Drosophila melanogaster: one gene and its partners. The gene in region 4 interacts genetically with the main gene of each other region. Each region holds a gene or a part of one and is shown on either strand. Other genes may lie near its edges. The genes, in order: Src42A, Pvr, mim and Cortactin.

The links.
Region 1: of Cortactin (region 4) and Src42A, changing one suppresses a phenotype caused by changing the other (phenotypic suppression), as found in Drosophila melanogaster (one study listed by BioGRID).
Region 2: of Cortactin (region 4) and Pvr, changing one suppresses a phenotype caused by changing the other (phenotypic suppression), as found in Drosophila melanogaster (one study listed by BioGRID).
Region 3: of Cortactin (region 4) and mim, changing one suppresses a phenotype caused by changing the other (phenotypic suppression), as found in Drosophila melanogaster (one study listed by BioGRID).

Annotation. Positions count from the first base shown.
Region 1 is NT_033778.4:5,991,172-5,996,012, reverse strand, and holds the start of Src42A (Src oncogene at 42A), read right to left. Parts: upstream 3,022-4,841; 5' UTR 2,636-3,021; intron 1-2,635. UniProt on the Drosophila melanogaster protein: Required directly or indirectly for the phosphorylation of drpr which is necessary for the interaction of drpr with shark and subsequent glial phagocytic activity.
Region 2 is NT_033779.5:8,236,846-8,241,539, forward strand, and holds the start of Pvr (PDGF- and VEGF-receptor related), read right to left. Parts: upstream 3,034-4,694; 5' UTR 2,847-3,033; exon of another isoform or gene 2,074-2,846; intron 1-2,073. Other genes in the region: Spn28F (serpin 28F), read right to left, coding at 3,620-3,756, 3,812-3,950, 4,010-4,694.
Region 3 is NT_033778.4:6,968,631-6,973,643, forward strand, and holds the start of mim (missing-in-metastasis), read right to left. Parts: upstream 3,008-5,013; 5' UTR 2,263-3,007; intron 1-2,262. Other genes in the region: Cyp6u1 (cytochrome P450 6u1), read right to left, coding at 3,675-4,099, 4,158-5,013.
Region 4 is NT_033777.3:21,061,124-21,066,118, reverse strand, and holds Cortactin (cortactin), read left to right. Parts: upstream 1-1,647; 5' UTR 1,648-1,696; exon of another isoform or gene 1,697-1,755; 5' UTR 1,756-1,824; intron 1,825-2,007; exon of another isoform or gene 2,008-2,010; 5' UTR 2,011-2,054; coding exon 2,055-2,221; intron 2,222-2,289; coding exon 2,290-2,693; intron 2,694-2,784; coding exon 2,785-3,893; 3' UTR 3,894-4,439; downstream 4,440-4,995.

The DNA of each region.
Region 1 (4,841 bases), on a different chromosome or scaffold from region 4:
CAACAATAACCATAACAGCAACGACGTTGTATAAAACCAGTTGAACCCGTCTTGTTTTCGAAAGGCTATTGAAAGCTCTGATGCATATAGTAATCTATATCTTTTAGCAGTTTTTGTCACGAGTCGGACGTCAAGGACTAATACTGTCGTGTACCAAGAAATTATATTTTTATTCCTGTAGTTGAAGATAAAAAGCGGAAATTAGATTCGTTGAAAAGTATATATAAAATGTATATATATATATATATTCTTGATCGAAACATATCCGGGAACATTTTGCTTTATTGAAACAATTTTAAAACCCTGTACCTTTTACAGTCAACATCTAGCGAATTAGACAGCCGTAGGTGGACTTCAGAGGAATCGGTATATGATATTTTAAAAATATCTTTAAAATGTTTTAAAAACATTAGTAGAAAATCGTTGTGTTTTACAATATTTTACACATTCTTACATACGTTAAGTTGTACAAAAAGACCAAAATTGTTCGAGTGTTTTAAAGATTTGTATAGTTTTTGTTACTAACCGAGTATGAACAAAAAGACTACGGTGCGTTTATCCCTGAATAAAAGCTCAACTCACACCGAACTTGTTGACTGACCTATGGTAACCGATTCGAAGCATGGTCATTACAAAATATCGCTCGATGTGTTTTCGGTTGCTTGTGTGGGAGTTTTTTTTTTTTACGGTAACGCGTGCCAAGAAAACTGAACAAGACGAACATAATAACGGGTATAATGAGCTGCAGAGCGAGTGGAATGGAGTGCGATTGGCGAAGTCTTTGTTGTCGTTGTTTCTGAAAGGTAACAATTGCACTCAAAGGTACTACGACCCAAATTGAACCGGTTTAACGTTTTTTATGTTTGTCTGCTTTTTTGTTATTTCCTTCTAGTGCGCCAATCCACAACTAGTAAACCTCGAAAATCAAACACTAACTCTTTCTGTTGCCATTCGACATGATGGTTTTCAGCCAAATCTGTGAGCGAGTCTACGTTGCGTAGCCAAAAAAAAGTGAATCATTGCAAGAGAGCGATAGGAATTAAGAAGCTGTGTGATGCCGTCTAATTTATAGCTTTTGTGCGTACTTTCTCCGTGACTCCAAAAAAATTTAATGCAAATAACATTGTGATTCGCTTGCTGCGCTCCATTAATGTGGAAATCAAAAGTAAGCTATTTGGCCAGCAAAAACATAGCCATTGACCGACAACCTCAACCAACACAACAAAACTTATGGTAAAAAAAAGTTTGGCTTTGATTTTATGACCGTGATTTAGGTCATTGCACAATGGTGACGAGACTTAGTTCCCTTCCACTCATGGAATTCGAATTTATTCGATATGTCGAACTTTTCATATATATTAATATCCGCGACATTCGTGTACTTAATTTAATAAAAAAATTGTTTTTTTAAGAGAGAAACTAAAAGAAATTGAACGTCCTTCACATTCATCAAATATTTTGTGGCGCCAACACTCTTAAAAAAACAAGAGAAAACACCAAAGCGAGTTCTTTGACTAACAAATACCCGTTACTCAAAAAAGAGAAGTGCAAGGACGACGCAAATATTCCAGTAGGAACGTGACTCCGAGATTGCACATATATGCTTTAAAAACCACATTTATTTTATTCCCTTACTGTATTTATTTATTCTAACTGAAAACAAAGTATCGTCAGCGTATGTATAAGAGGTTTTTGGGAAAGTGCACGGTCCACAGTTAATAGCTTAAGTGGCAGGAGCTGAAGAGAGAACCAATGAACTGAAAGGAGTAATTCGAAGGGATCACAATCAGAGGTTACAGCTCGGAATGCCAACAACAAAGAGCGGACCACGAAGCCAGCTACCATAAACAATGAGCTTTTTTGCCTCTCTTTAGCTCATCTGGAGCTCCACACTCAATACCATGAAAGCAATTTTCATGTGTTTTTCAACTGAATATTTTGTATCTGTATCTTTATCTTTTTTCTGCTACCACTGCTGTTGTTAAGCGACTCCGACTGACAGGCATGACTCATGACGCAGGAAATTTACGACCACGGCACAGTGCAGCAAGAGAAGGCTGAAAAGCGATATAAAAGAAGGCCCTAAACTCCGCTAATTCCAAGCCTGAGAGCCAACTTAAATCTTAGCCTAAACGCAAAGAATATGTGCGAAATGGCGCAGTTTGCCCAAGTCACGTAAGTCGAAATTGATATGATTTCTGAGGCCTGGTATGGTGTCTGAAAAAAAAAAACGCCGTGGAAGTGCACAGCAGTGTATAAGAAAGTTCATGTGCACGGAACTGAGCGCTTTAGCACTTACAAAAATGTATCACCCGTTTGGCAAGCCAGTTGTGCATTTTAGCACATAGTAAACGATAAAGTTCGCAACAACTTGAGGACGACTTTGTGGGCTGTCAGGCATTGCATAACCAGATTCGCAGGAATTCTCTTACGAAATAAGCTCGACTTTGTATTCCGCACGGAATACACCGTTCTAATTCCAGCGGCATGCGCCGAGGCAAAGAAAATATGTTTGCATGACCAGCGAAACACACGCGAAACAGTAAAGAAAATAGAAAGTTCTGTTCCCATCTTTTTCTGAGTTCGGATCCACCAGAGGAATGTTCCGCACACTGCAGCTTCCCTGGGCTTGTACCTTTTCCAGTTTTGCTGCTACTGCTGCTCTTGTTACCACTTATCCATATCAAAGTGGGGTTTTACTTGAGGCACTTTTGAACAAAGAAAACACTGACTGTTAGAAGTATGCCAACAACACAAACAGGTCGCGCATGCGCCGCACAGTGCATCTAGTGGCTCTGTGGTGGCTTGTGGATAATAGATTATATAGATTTCATCGGCCCGTGAACGAAAAAACTTGTAAGCGCGGTAGGCGAGCTTTGGCCAAATTCGATTAAGGCATTTAACTCAGATTCGGATTCGATTTCCTATGTGCTGCGTGTACGGGCGCTATTCCGATTTCCGAGCCGTTTTCGTGCGGCTTCCGTTTACACGTCCGTTTTGTGCACCGCTTCGCAGACAACTGATACGTTTATGAAATTTTTATAGAAAGGTTTTAACCGCTTGCCACCGCACCGACACACTCGCACCCGCCGCCTTGGCATCTATGTGTGTGCCATTTGAGCCAAGCTCGCTGCCCGCGTGTTGGCCAACCGTTCCCGCTCTCTCGCTCTTCGATCCATCTTTGTGTGCTTAGTCTCTTTTATCTTGGCCCAGAAGTCCAATGGCTCGTCGAAGAGTGGTCTCGCTCTTCGTCTCCAAGTGCCTCTCTCTTAAGATGCTCCGAGATAAACTGCACAGTTTTGTAATTACGACAACAATTAGTCACAAAGTGCGTTGATTGCAAAGATCAAATCGAGTTGAAAACAATTAACTCGTCGCTGTTACTGACAAAATGTCAGGTTGTATTAATTTGTTCACGTAACCAAAATAACTCAGCACTGTCGCGTCACTGGAAATCAAATTATTTGTTTCTAAATGTCTCCGCTTGGGTTCTTGTGAACGCCATTGAACTCGTCATTGATAAGGTATGCTATGGAACATTGCTGAAATAGAAAATATTAGAGTCTACATCGTGGGAATACTAATGGCTAGTATCCAATCCAGAAGGGACTCGCAGTGGGGACTCGCGCCTGGACATACCATTTAATATTAAGAATATATTAACGAATACCTGGGGATATTTTGCGAAAAGTCGGAGGGCAAAATCTATAAACATAGTCGTTAGTCACTTTGATTTAACACTTGACCAAATATGAGTGTTCCTGAGCTCCCTTATGTAAATAGAAATTCATGTGCACATATAAACACATGTGTTTACGTCGATGGCTCAGATTCTCCGTTTCCCTGACCACAAAACCCTTAAATACTGAAATATTGGGACTTACCTGGAAATAAAAAGTAAACAGAAAGTGTTAAATGTTAACTTTAACGGGTTGTGTAATGCAAAATAAATAAATAAAAGGACACTTTTATAAAAACGTTAGGCAGTATGGCCAATATCACTGAAGTATACGGTTATCTAACTTAGCAGTATATTCTTTTTTCATTTTAAATTAACTTTTACAATATTACAGCACAAAGTCACAGCTTACAGGTCGTATAACTGAAATCAAATCTAGCCACACACCAAACTGTATCGACAAAATGCGATTTCGTCTCCTTCTACTGTCCTAATCTGATTGAAATGTGTGTATTTACCTCTACGTAAATTACGAGTCAATTAATGCCCAGCCAGACTAGGTGAATATTTGCTTCCTGTGCAATTTTACGCTAATTCAAATTCCTATAACATCAACACGTTCACCGTTAGTATATGTAGTCTTTATCGGACGTATCAGCTAAAAATTAACACTATATCACTGAGTCAATTAAAATGTAGTCGTTCGACCTTCCTGGAGAGCGACGACCGAGTCTGTTGTCACTTATGTTTTTTTTTAGCTACTGACAAATTATTAAAACAATTGCCTTCTATTGAGTATTATTGACTTGCCACAAACTCGAATGATTTGTCTACACACACACACACTTCACCTGAGCCGAAAGAAGAACGCTCAACTAAATCGGAACTTCACCACGCATGAACACAGGGAAATATGAATAAATGCCGACACGGCTCTTGCATGTGGCTCTCTAAAACAATTGCCTTCTCTTCGTGGGTTCAACGACATTTTCTGATGTCATGTTCAATAACAATTGCAGCCTATAGTGGCAACGGGAGTAAAATAAAGGATGGCTTGAATTATTAATGAATAATGAATACGGAGGTTCAAAAAATACTAAATTCGCTGCATATGAGCTGAAATTATAATTATTTGGAAAATCGGACCCATTTATTTGCAAAC
Region 2 (4,694 bases), on a different chromosome or scaffold from region 4:
TCTTCAGTTGTCACTCGAGAGATTTGGAAAAGTTGTTTCTTTTCTTTTCCATAAACTGGGAACTTAATAAAAATAATAGAAAGACCATTGCCGGTGAAATTGAATCGTTGGCATTCTGCCCACATATTATACAACTACAACGCGTGGCGACAACAAGTTGGTTGGTTGGCCAGCTGCTGGCGAATAAATAGAAATGTTATATGCGTTCACTTAATAGCCGACAAGTGTTTAATTTGTTTGTTTTGGGTTTCGCCCGATTAATAAATAAATATGGCCAATGTATATAGCCCATTTAGTGCCTCGCCGTGACCTCAAAACATGGCTCAATTTTATGCGATTTGTTTACTCAATGCATTTTTTGTTTTGACTGGCTGGCTGCCTTCTGCCATTTTATTCCCGACGGAAATAAGATTGCTTTTATATATATATATACATATATTTTCTTATTTCCCTGATTCTCCGAAGTGCACTTGATTACGTGCAGTTTATGGGGCAGATAAAATTTTCCCAACGAATGGGCTTTAGTCTAAAGTTTCCAGCGCTTATGAATGGGCTTTAGTCTAGGGCTCAGGTGAAAGCCAATTGCCTGCTTAGCCTTTTTTTTTGCAGATTTATGGCCAAGTTATTTCCACCTCTCCATGCAGACAGTTACAATGGCCTGGCCAAAACATTTGTTGTCCGCTGTCAATTTATTATTTGTTATTTATTATTTACGTTCTGACTCAGACCACGGCGGATGTAAAGAGGCGAAGGTGTCCATTCATAGAATGCCAAACCAACCAACCAACCAGCCAGCCAACCAACAAAGTGGTGTGAAAACGTGTTCAATGCTGGCCGAGATTGTCCAACGAATCGGTTTTATTTATGGCTTATTGGTAACCGGCAAATTCAATTAAACAGATATTATCTTAAATGGAAATTTATGAGCCAATTCGCCCAAAGAGTTAAGGGGTTTCTCAAAAATGTTTCAGCTTATCCGAACTGCCTTAGAGAAACGCAAAATGATTTTTCTCTCTACAGATGTACAAAATGTACCTAAACTCAATTCTAGTGTTTTTATCTACAACAGGAAGTCAATCTTCTGTGCATAAGCAATCCTCTTGAGATTAAAAAGATCTCTTGTGCAATAATACATATCAGCATTCTAAATATCTCTAGAGATATTACAATCGCTTGAAATGCACACAAATTCGTTGTCACACACATTCTTTGATTATTTTGAAGTCTATTTTCGGCGAGTTCTGCTTAAATATTTTGTGTGTATTTATAATTAGTTTCTATTAATGCGAAAGAACTACTTTGTTCATTTTTTCCAGTGCATACAAAGTAATTTATTCGTAATGGAGCTCTCTACTTCAGCACAATCAACTACAGTAAAGTATCTCTAATTTGACACCCACTGCGGGGGGCGGGGCAGGTGTGCGTATCTGGTGGATACTTGGCCATAAGCCCCACCTGATTAATGTGCCATGTGCATAATGGGTAGGTGTGAAAAAGAGGTGCAAGTGGCCAGTAGCAATGTGATGGGTGCACATTTTCCAAGAACCACTAGTATCCATTGATTATTCTGGCTTATCACAACAGTTGTTCAACGCTTGATGCCAGGTGAATTGCGAATTTGGCCAGGGGAATTACAATAAATATTTCATCAACACCATTCGCGGACATTTTTATGACTCCAAACTTTGACGATTCGTAGCAGTTTTGTACCACATTTTCCGGACATTGAGAACGATGGCAATTAACAACAGCCTGGGCTGGGCAGCCTTTTGAAGTGGCCAGAGATAAATGGAGCAGTCGGCAAACTGAAGGAGGTCTGTATTCAATAAACAAATTGGGCACAGTGTGCAATTGGAGGCAATGAATTATGGGCATCTGATTTGATCAGAACTTCTCGATCCTGAGTCACGTATTGGGGGAAAATGTATCAACAGTTCGTTTGGTCAAGAAACGGATGGCGTGGAACCGGTTTAAGAAAGTCGCTATAGACACATTCAGTTGACCAGGCAAACAAAAGAAAGGTGAACCCTTTCTTCTATATATATATGTACATATATATGTATATATACCAACTTTATTTGGGTGTTTCTGGAAAAGCAGTATGAGTAAATTCGAAATCCATCGTAGTGTTATTCATATTTTCATAGTCTTACGCAGTCTACCGTTTGATCGCAGCAGCTTGGCAACAACAACAACTATTGAAGATACAACAACAACTTTTGAACGTACAACAGTCACGATCGGCGATGAATCACGATTTGAATACCTGGCACCGGTGGATGTTTGCAGTCTTGATTACTTGGAATGCCGCTGACGTATTCACCATAGACACACGCACACTTTTCGTAGACCCAACACTTATATGCACTTATCAATGAATAATACCAGGCAGTGATAATAGCACACACACACACACACGCACTTAGAAAAAGGTCACTGATAATAGTTCATTATGTACACCATCTATAGGAGCATAGTGACCATGACTATTTTGGGTGTTTTTTTTTTGTATAATTGCATCGAATTGAGCAACATCACGAGCGCCGAATTCGATTTCGATTTTCGAGCTTACGATTGACAATCACTTAGAACTCTTGTCAACCACCTGTGGCTGAGTTTGCACTTGTATTCGAATTCCGATTCGTATCTGTGTTTGTTTTTTACTTTTGCGAAGGTGTGGGGGTTCGCTCACATCGATATCTAAACTTTTGAGTGCGGATTCATTTGCTTAGCACCTTTGATGCTTCACTTATACTTATATACGACACGATTTGGTTTCGTTTCCACACGATTCTATATCTATATTATCGGACGTATCTTCGAGCCTTTCAAAAATTAACGCTTACGTTGTGGTTTTCTGTGCTTAACACTTTCTGCGTGGGGCACTTCAGCAGTATCGGTTGCTCTTGAAAGACAATAAATACTGCGTCGTCGGCAAAGTTTGAACAGTTTGCACCGAACACAAGTCAAAAGCCCGCGAAATTTCCTTCCGCTTTGACGTCCGAACAGCTCGAAAAGTTAACGTTAACTAGAGCTGGGGCACTATCGACGGTACTATCGAGGTATCCGATTCGATTGTTATTTTTTGCTATCGATGAGCGTTATCTACAGCATGTAGAATAGAACGGATAGAATAATATTTTTGTTATATCTTTAGTCAACATCATTTGAATTTTCTTGTTTCGTTAGGGAGTTTATCTCTCGTTTAGTTTCCTTTTATTATTATTTCATTATTATTTTGAAAGGTGAAGTGTACTAAATAACGAGCTAAAAATTGAACGCAATCACGCTATTCGCGGCGATGCCAGACCGCTTGAAAACAGTTCCAGTTGGCCAGTGGCGGCCAGTGATGCCATGCGTACTAAATTTCCTAACGGTTTTAGTTTTAGATCGAAGTGCTTAAAATAAAGTTTTCTTTTATTAAATAATATTTAGTATCATTTAAGCATTTCTAACGATTTGTCAGCTGAGTAAGGGGATTGTGATTTATAAGGGTCTCGACTATAGCATTTTCACTACTTTCCACCTATTAAATATTTTCAGGAAACTGGTAAATCCTTTTATTCTACAATAAAGTATAATACAATTTCCATTTATTATTGATAAGAAATAGTACATTTTATTCATTCGGTTTCACAAAGTGGCCCTGGAAATAAATGGTTTCCCTATCGCGAATGACATAGGCAAAAGGATGATCGGCATTAAAAACCATTTGAGATGACGGCATAGGCATACTATAGCGCACGAAAAGTAAAGCTGGCAAAAATAAAACATATTATACAAATATATATATAATAAAATTATATCATACCTGTTGCAGCCGCTGCCTCAGCTCCTTCTTCATTAACCTCGATGAACGCCTTATGAATGACTTTTTTCACATGAACGTTACTGTTTTCGACCAGATCTTTGAAGTCAGCAGATTTTTCGAACGCATCTTGTATGCCCATCTATAGATGAATATCTATAAATTGTAAGGGTGTATCAAGAATAATCTGTGAATACTCACCGCCACAAGAACTTTGTTTAGTTGAGCGAAGAATTCGATTTTAAACTTGGGAAGCCTTAAAGTTACATCCATTTTGGAAAGTTTCGGTTTGAATCCTACAATCTTTTTCTCCAGCTCTGATAGTCCATCGACCTGGTCCGGTAGAAAAATTAGCATGGACAGGCTTGAATTTCTGTAGGGCAGCTCGATAATTTTGGCACCCAGTTCACTATCATGTGCGGCCCTAAATGATTGAAATAGTGACATCATCTCGACAGGAACACTCTTTTGATCCGAAACACGGAAATTCCTCTTCTTCGTTAACTTGGGATTAAATTTGTACTCCCACTGGCCTTTAAAGTATATGGCATTTAAGACGATCAATTCCATTTTCGACATGTCATTGGATGAAACTAAGTCTTTGATTTTACCACGCGTCTGATTATCTACCCAATTATTGACAATTGAAGAAGCCTTATTGGGATCGACAATGTCGATTGCCTCCGCTTCAGCCATAAATGAATCCTTGACCATCTGATTGTAACTCGGTACTAGCTGGAACTTTTTGTTCACGTATATGCGATTAGCCAAACTGAGAGTGGCTACCTTCTCGCGTCCTTCGAGTTTACTCAGAAGGTCCTTGTATTTGGCTGCCACTTCCTTTTTGTCATCGGGCAGTTTCAAAACATTCCTCATTTCTTGGGCT
Region 3 (5,013 bases), on a different chromosome or scaffold from region 4:
GAAAACCGCTTGAGGCGAAGGCGAATCTCGGGTTGGATTAGACACGATTTTCATTAGGACGAACCCCGAAAATCGAAAGTGGTTACGAAAGATTCCACTCGAGTGGGCGATCCAGCAGTCTAGAGTCGCGGACTCATTCGAACTCAGATTCATTCAAACAACAAGGAACGCCCATGCAGTTCACCAATCAAACGAAAACGAAAATCTTTTTGTGAGTGGGCAGCGAGAAACTCGAATTGCAGCAGCGCAGCGACATGCTAAACAAATGCAGACATTCAGGCTAAGTGACTTAAAAGTTTTACAAGTTTTCAGCCGTTTTTTCTTGTTTACCAATTGAAAACAGTTGCCGCATTATAATGTAAAGAGGACGTAACAGCGGTTCCGAAAGGCGAGTATTAAAGATATATGAATAATGTACCAATTATTTTACATTTAGTGGGAAAAACTATTAGCGCCTTTAGAACTGAAGTGATCCAGCTAAAATACTGAATGGGGGTTTTGTGTTTACAGTAGGCTAAAGAACATTCAAAATATTACGAGTATTAATTTTTCGAAAACCATCAATGAGAAAACATATTTGCACAACAAACAGTTAACGTTTTTCCTTTGTTTTGGCCTTGCTCTCGTGCTTGTGAAAGAATGTTGTTGTTTCTATGCAACGGAGGTGGAGGTGGGGGTTGGTCAGTTGGAGCGGCCTTTCTCCATAGGACACAATATTTTTTTATATTCACTGGTATTTGTTTTTCTGCTTTTGTGAATTTCTGTTTGCATTTTGTTAAGGCGCAAGTGCCTGGTTTCTGTTTATATAAGCGTAGTAAGATCACCGAAAAAAGTTGCTCGTTTTCAAATTATAATATTTCACTTATTTTTATATTTTTATCATTTTAGTAAGAAGGAACATTAATTTCCTTCTCTTAGTATATCAAAATGTATGATTTTCCAATTTAGGTAAAACATTTAGGTTTCCTCCAAACGATCACGTTCGAAATACAGGTTTTTTCTCTCGGTGCAGGAGCAAGTTTCTTGCCAATGGCCGACAGCTGTTTGTGGCTAATTTTATCTTTCTTTCTGAGACCCTCTGTTGTTTTGGATTCTCTCGTTTTTGGCAATTGCACAGGTGCGGCAGTTGGATGGTTTGCGGATTGGGTTACTCCACGCGAATCAGATAGCCCAAGGCATCCTTTCGAATTTGAGTACTACTTTGTGTCTAAGCAGCGTATAGTATATACGATATAGCGACTTGGCGAATGCACCGGCCGACATTTCAGGCCAAACGGTCTCCGTTGCTGGAAAGTTCTGCATCATTTGTTTAGACAAATGCGCGAGAAAACATTCCCGGGACGTAAACAAACCCCGGCAATAATATTTTAATAATTACGCTTATCTGCTCCATTTGACGGCGCGCACAAAAGTCGTTTGAAAGGTATGCAAAGAGAACGAGACGTGCGATAAGGGAGCCGGGAATGGGAACTCAACTTTCGAGCATTTAGTCCGCACCATGGGTGTCAACGTGCCGCTCCGGTTCCTGTTGCGATTACGGGTTGAAAGGAACACAAAGCCGCCACCTCGCGAAAAAACGACCCATTCGGAGTCGGACAAAAAATTAGCTTGTTCAGATAAACCGAGTTCAGGTAACACAGTCCAAAGAGAAGTCCCTGCACTTGCGCAATTACCGCGCAACTTCAAAAGGGGAGTTGTGCACAGAGAAAACTTTATGGCAGTCGAAAAATCGGAAAATCTGACTTCGCACAAATTTTGTGGACCGAAAACACTTCACAGCACTTCATTGGCACAATTTGTCAAAAATCACTAAATGTATATTGTTTGACTTCAAGAGGTTTAATAATTCACTAATTTATCTTACAAAAAGAATTAGTTACATGAAATTGGTTGTTGATTTTGTTATAGAAATTATTATTATTATTATGTTGCTGGCCATCAAAGATATGTTTTCTTCAAAACAAAATTACAAATATATAAAACCTAAACATTTTTTATGAAACTCCTTTTTTTTAACGTGTATAACAAATCCTGTTTGGATTGGCCGTGAACGGAGTTTTCGGTTCTCACGACCGCCTGGAATGGTCACTGGAAGTCCTTGGACCTGGAATCGGTCCAAACTTGTTGTTGGTGAACTGCAGCTTCCATTCCCTCCCCTTACTCCATCCCCCTAGCCAACGCTCTTCGCCCCTCTCCCAACCCCAGTAATTGGCATTATTAGCCCACACTCGATTCTTTTTGTTGTTCTTGAAGGATACTTACGGTGCACTTCCGACTGTAAAATATCGCAGGGCGACTTTATGCAGCTTGCTTGATTTTTCGGCCGACGATGTTGCAGACAATTAGGCGATGATGTTGATGCTTGCACTTCTGCGGTCACGGTGTTGTTGTTGTTCTAGCATTGCATTTCCAGGCGGCAAAAGCGCACACAAAGGATAGAAGCGGTTGTGAGTGCGAGCGGGGTGTATTCTCCCGTTATTCCCCTCTATTTCCTCTCTCTCCTTCTTACGCCCAGTTTCGTGTGCTTTGCTTTTGCATTTGCTTTTCTTTGCTTTGTTCAAACTCAAACAAACTACCCCAGAACCGTTGATCCTGACTGCCTTGTTGTTGCTGCTGCTGCTGTTGTTGTTGTTGTTTTGTTTTCTGTTATGTTATACACTCACAGACACACGTACACACACGCACACAGTGGGCTGGCAGACAGACGCTTAATTTTCCGTTTTCCTCGGGAAATCGCAAACAATTATTCGCTTATTTTTGCACCGAATCTGACACTTATATGCTCGCACTTCGAACTGCACTTCCAATTGGTTCGCGCATTCCTTTTCCGGTTAGAAAACAGTTAGAAGTTTGCCGCTGCAACCGCTATTTTCGCCAAGTCTACGACTGACTTTCCGAGCGCATTTTCGTTTTCCTCCGGTGCGAAAGGGCTTTCCTATAGACAAACAAAAAACCGTAAAACAACCGCGACCGATTCGTTCGAGAGTCGAGTGTCTGGGTCAGTGTGACCATCGCTCGAAGCTGGGAAAATACACCTCTGTAGTGTGACCACGTCTAGGAAAAATCACTTGGCAGCGAGGTCACATTCGCTGTTAACCGTTCTGCGAATCGGGAATGTTACCTATCATGCAAACTTTTAAAATTGAAAATATGGTTATTTTTGGCGCGTTCGATGTTCCAGTTGACATAAAAGTCAATTGAATAAAAAACCAAAAATTTTGTTATAAAAATTTGAAGAGAATAACTCATGTTTTAGAGTAGAGTTCCTAGGAAACGGAAGTGCCGAAGACATTAACTAAGCACTCGGGCTAAATGAGTGTTAATTTGGAAAACCATGAATTCTATAGATTGAAAACAAATTATATAAATTTAACGTCGTTTACTTTAAATAATGGCCTCTGCATTTGCTGCAAATTCACCTTTTATGCATAGAATTCTTTTTAAGAGTCCTATTTTCCGATGGTATGAAAGTGTTCGATATAACAACTAAATTATTTATTTGTTCACGTTGTTGAGCTTGGTGCAAAAGATTATAAAAGTCATCGTCAGCATTATCACACAAGTCCACAGCTTAGGAAAATCAACGAAAAAGGTGCATATACAAATATAAAAACAACTTAAACGCTTTGTAAAGCAAACAATACAAAATATGCGATGCTCCAGCAGAGCCTCCTTTAAAGCTTGTCCACCCGTTCCACACTGAGTTTGATGTCCGACTTGGGCATCAAGAGCAGTCTCCGGTTGTCGTACTCCACGGGAATCGAGGTCTCCGCAGAGGGAGCGTATCTGTGCTGCCTCAGCAGAGCCACCAGGCCCACCAGAAGCTGCTGCTCTGCAAAGCGAGCGGCAATGCATCCTCGCAGGCCATCGCCGAAAGGCAGGAACGCAGCTGCCGGGCGGGATCGCCTTGCCTGTTCCTCAAAGCGCTCCGGGTAGAACCGCTGGGGGTTTTCATAAATGCCAGGATCCATGTGTATCGCCGCCGTTGGTATCAGCACATTGTTGCCTTTGGCAATTACAAACACCGATCCGGGCACTTCGAATTCTTTGGTAGCCCGGCGTAGCAGGAAGGGATGTGGAGTGTGCAGGCGAAGCGTTTCTAAAAAAAAGGTGAAGTCATTGGAGCTATAAAGAGCTTTTCAATATTTGGTACTCACCATTGAGGACTTGCTTCGTATACCTGAGCTCCCTTAGGCACTCCGGTGTCACTTGGCCACCATGCTCCTCCAGTGCCTTGTTAATCTCGAGCCTGGTTCGATCTTGCACCTCAGGCTGGCGGGCCAACTCGTAGAGGCAGAATGCTAGGGTGGCATTCAGGGGGCCCAAGCCAGCCAGAACGAAGCCGAAGGCTTGGCCCGCAATCTCGATGTCGGTGAGCGGCTTTTCTGCGTTGGAATATAGCTGCAGAAAGGTCTGGAGTGGCTGGCGATCCCTTCTTCGATGCAACTGCAACTGCGACAGGGCCACTTTTTGGAAGTAAGCTGTAGCAGGTTCTGCGTAGCTTTTGTACTGAAGAAGGCGAGCGATGAGCGGAAACTCAAGCGCCAGATAAGCCTGCCACATCCTAAAGTCCGCCCAGTAGTTGCGCGTCCACTTAGCGAACTCCACGTTATCCTGCCCTACTAGTCCAAAGGCCATTGACGCCATAACGTCCGTATTGTATGCACCCACGAGTTCGCTTATATTGATAGTTTGAAGGCTCTTTTCGCCCAGGTCCCTTTGAATTCTGGAGGAGATTTGCGACAGTCTGACCAGCAGCTTCTGCATGTTGGCCGGAGTGAAAACCTCTGCAGATTTGGCGTGCAGTGACCGCCACTTGTGACCGTCCAGCTGAAGGAGATTATGCGACAGCGGCTCTCCACTGGGATTACTATAAAGGCCTCGGGACGTAAAGTGTCCCGCGTCGGTGAAGATTATTTGGTGGACTAGCTTCAGGTCCAGCGCCAAGATGAACGGCTTGAGGCAGGCGTAGAATCCCACAAACGGCGCCCTGCCCTTGTATGCGGTGTAGAT
Region 4 (4,995 bases):
TAGGTGTAAAAACTGGAATAGCTCGTGACCATGTGTGAAAAACTCCATAAACAAAAGCTTTTGCCAACTTCTTTTGGAGACCTCGATGGACTGTACCTCGAAATGTTTCAAAAATGTTTTGCAAATGCACTGAGCAATTCACTTAGTAATAAACCTTGATGACACACCTATTCTACTATAATTGCACGGCCTCGAGTACACTACTACTATATTTTGTGGACGGTGGAATGTGGCCACATCCGATTCCGGTGAGTAATGCTGAGCAAGGCACAGGCGCTCATACACAGTGCTTACTGTAGTTTGAAGTGCCTGTCGGGCAATTGAAGTTGATTGAATTACTAAATTAAGCAGGGCACTGGGGGATAGAGATATTTCGAAAAATTCCGCTTCTCATTCCTACGTAAAATGGGAAAGCAAGAAAGGAACAGAAAAGTTTACTTAGATTTCGTCGGAGATGAGAAAAGTCACACGCGTCGCGAGAGAAAACGCCAAAAGAGTGGGGCTTTTGCTTTTGAGTTTGATGATGTCATCTTTCGGTTTTGAATTTTTCTCCCACCCGAGGCTTTTATTATTGAAATATAAAGTAAATAGAGAAACAAGATTCTGGAGAATTCTCGCGATACCGCACCCACAACTAGAATTCTACAAAATGCCCATTTTGGAATGGCACAAATGAAAATTATCTTTGAGTGTTTAGCACACACTTTCTTTTCTCACTTTTCCGACTGATTTTCCGCTTGATTTTTTGCGATTTCTGGCACAGCGAGAGTAAACAATGAGTTTTATCTACAAATTCCTTTTGATTTACCAATGATATTCGATTTTCAACGTACAAGTCAGACGATGCGAACTGCAAGCGATGTGAATAAATACCATAGCTGTTTGCGCTCCGTCTTTGGCTTTTATACTCGCGCTCTCTCGCTGGAAGTCGATTAGAGATGAACCAACCGGCGATAGGTTGTTGTTGCTAGGAAATATTCGGTGGTAGCGCCTAACTGGAAGCTGGTATCTTCTGCGTCGTCATAGTATACACCGTAGAATCTAAAGTGTTCCGAGATGGATGAATCATCGGCATTGGAAGCTGTTGAGACATTCATGATATTTCCGTTGTGATAATGACGACATTGGGAAAATAAGATCTGATTACGCATTGAATTTCAAAATGTAACCTTTGACTTCAATATTCAGCCGTTAGGGCAATACAGTTAAATAAATATCCTGTTCCTTCCTAAGCCGTTTTATAACTATTTTTATTTGTATTTTTATAACTATATATAAAAACCAATTACGTTAATTGTCAGCCGACATCGAAGCAAATTCAAATCCAAAACTATCGATATATCGATGATATGTTTGCGGTTATATGAAAAAAGTCAACTCTTATACCTGTTAATTACCGTTCTGGCAGAATCTTATTAATTATACAAATTACTATGGCGCCACTTGGTATAACATCAAATACCTTTTGCCCGAGCACTCAGTTCTATTGATCACGATCACATATATTGGTACTGCAGTATATATCGGTGCATTGACTTATCGAATAAAGTAAAAGAACCACGACTGTATCTCTTAATCATTTAAATTGGGCGCCCCTAAAACTGCAGCAACTACCTTTTGTCAAGCTCATCACAATAATTTATCGGCTTTTCGTAGCATATCGATGCATCCATTGTATCGAATGAAATTTAGTTCAGTTAGTTTCCCGTTTGTTGGTCTCTTTATGAATCAATTGTTTAACCCTTCTCCTCCCAGAAATTTGCAGACATCCCTAGCGGCATCAGATCATAAGTTCCTCTTGCAGTAGGAGTTAGTCATCGGGATGTGAGTATACATATGAACATAGAGCGCCAGTGGCATCTTGTTCCCGATCCGGCTTTGTCGGCCCCTCCCTTCTTCGGTGTTTTGTGACTTGTTATCTGGGCCACGAATCGGAAGCGGAGCCCCTGCAACTGAAAACCTGCCCCGACTACTCACACTCGTCATGGTGTTTATCTATCTACCCAGCAGATAAGGATAAGCGAGTAACCAGCGACCAGAAACCGGTAAAAAGAATGTGGAAGGCAAGTGCCGGTCACCAGATTCAGGCCACCAGTGCAGCCTCCGCGGAGGACGACGACTGGGAGACGGATCCGGACTTCGTGAACGATGTCAGTGAGCAGGAGCAGCGCTGGGGATCAAAGACGATCGACGGCAGCGGTCGCACAGCAGGCACCATCGAGTGAGTCATCCGAAATTCTCGAAACACTGGGTATCGGGTTCATTGTTCCCTTTCTTTATTCTTTTTAGCATGGACAAGCTGCGCGAGGAGACGGAGCAGGCCGATCTGGACAAGAAGAAGCAGCTGCTGAAGGATCAGAACGCAGGATACGGATACGGGGGCAAGTTTGGCGTTGAGAAGGACCGCATGGACAAGTCGGCTGTGGGTCATGACTACCAGGGCAAGGTGGGAAAGCACGCCTCGCAGAAGGACTACAGCGATGGTTTTGGGGGAAAGTTCGGAGTGCAAGAGGATCGCAAGGACAAGTCTGCCGTGGGCTGGGACCACGTCGAAAAGGTCGAGAAGCACGCCTCCCAGAAGGATTACGCCACCGGCTTCGGAGGCAAATTTGGAGTGCAGTCCGATCGGGTGGATAAATCCGCCGTGGGCTGGGATCACATCGAGAAGGTGGAGAAGCACGAGTCTCAGAAGGGTAAGTTACCTAACGGAAATGAATTTCTCATTGATTTTTTCTTAGTATGTTCATGTCTGATTATTTTATTTATATCTTCTCCCAACATAAGATTACTCCAAGGGCTTTGGCGGCAAGTTTGGCGTTCAGGAGGACCGAAAGGACAAGTCCGCGGTGGGATGGGACCACAAAGAGGCTCCGCAGAAGCACGCCAGCCAGGTGGACCACAAGGTCAAGCCAGTCATCGAAGGTGCCAAGCCTTCCAATTTGCGTGCCAAGTTCGAGAATCTGGCTAAAAACTCCGAGGAGGAGTCACGTAAGCGGGCCGAGGAACAGAAACGTCTCCGTGAGGCCAAGGACAAGCGGGATCGGGAGGAAGCCGCCAAGAAGACTGTGGCCGAGAACACTCCTCGTACCTCGACGGAAGCACCGCCTCCAAAGGGCAGCAGGGCGGCCATCCAGACAGGTCGGACCGGTGGCATTGGCAATGCTATCAGTGCATTTAACCAGATGCAGTCGCCTGTTTCTGAAACCCCTCCAGCACGAAAGGAACCCATTATCATTCCCAAGGCGCAGCCTGTTAAAATAGAATTAGAAGCAAAGGAGGAGCCAACGGCAAGTACAACATCAGCTGCGGTTGCTCCTACTCCGACAGTGGTCCCCGCTCGAGAGCCGGAAACAGCTCCAGTGGCCAAGGCTGCAGCTCCACCACCAGATGTGGTGCCCCAAATTGAGGTTGAGACCGTGGACACGCCTCCCAGAAGTGAGCCGCAATCACCAGTGTATGTGCCGACGCCTCAACCCGAAGTCCACGCCCAAGTCCAAGTCCAACCTGAGCCGCAACCTCAAGCCGATCCTGAGCCAGTAGTTGAAGAAGAGCCACTGTACCAGAACCAGGCCGAGATTAAGGCTGCCTCGCCCTTGCCACCAACGAATGGAACCGTTTCAGAGGCTGTTGCTCCGAGTGGCACCGCAACCGTTCCCGAGGAGGCAATCTACGCGAACTCAGACAATTTGGCCGACTATCTGGAGGACACCGGAATCCACGCCATTGCCCTGTACGACTACCAGGCGGCGGATGACGACGAGATATCCTTTGATCCAGATGACGTGATCACCCACATCGAGAAGATCGACGATGGGTGGTGGAGGGGATTGTGCAAGAACCGCTACGGACTCTTTCCAGCCAACTACGTGCAGGTGGTGGGACAGAACTCATAAAAGCTTCCAATTGAAATTCACGATAGAACAAAATCAAATTGTATTTACATACTAACGAAAACGATAATACTGATGTTGGATTATAAACCATATAAACCAATTCGCAACTAACCCAGCCCATTTCCCATCCATTGTTTACCCTCTTAACCCTCCAAATTATGTGCAACGAATGGCTAGATATTGAATTATTATTGTAATTTGTTATGCTAGCACTTAAAGTAACCGTGGTATTCCATTTTTGATATATGTATCATTTATTGCATTTTACATTCTTTGTATTTAACACATTTATTTTACCAAGAAAATATGCCAAGCTATTTTAGATATCTCTCATTTCATATTTTATGCATTAGTTATGATATTTGTGTCAAGTAACGATTTTGGTTTTTTTGAATTGTATAAAGTCTACGAGAGTTTCCCGTGTCAGGTGATCTGATCTAATGTTAAAGACGGATCTAATGTTGAAGACAGTCACAAACAAAAAGTCTGCTCTTTTGATAAAGAAATACATAATTAATAAAGTTAAATAATAACGAGTTCTCTCTTAAATTGTGGTACTGATAGTTCGGGTGTTTTTGTTTTTTTTTAAGGCCTAACAAATCATTTTACTAAGTAAAATGATTTCATTGGATACGGGAATTCACAAATTTCTATAAGAAGATAAGAACGAGCATATTGTTGGGTTCCTTCTAATATCACGAGGATATCTCTATTTTGGGGTAGAACTGTCAAGGCCTTTCTTGGATGGGCCGAATTCTTATCTGCCTGTTCCGAACGCATCGTAATCTGGCAAAGTAGAAATTGTTACATGAAACGAGCTACTGACATGATTCATGGTGCAAATGTGAGTGCATATGGGCTCAACAAAGAAAGAGTACTTTGCATTGTGGTGATTAATTAGTTAAAAAACATACATAAGTAGGATGTACGGCCATATTGTAAATTTGAGCGCCAATCCCAAAAAGACTTGATAAGATTTATCGCAATTATTGGCGACGGATCGTAATCGAAAAAAGTGTCAGACGAAATCAAAGTTTTGACTGATAAAGTTGATGTATAAATTAAACTTCAAGGAGGTATTACGATAAAGTGTGCGTGTTGG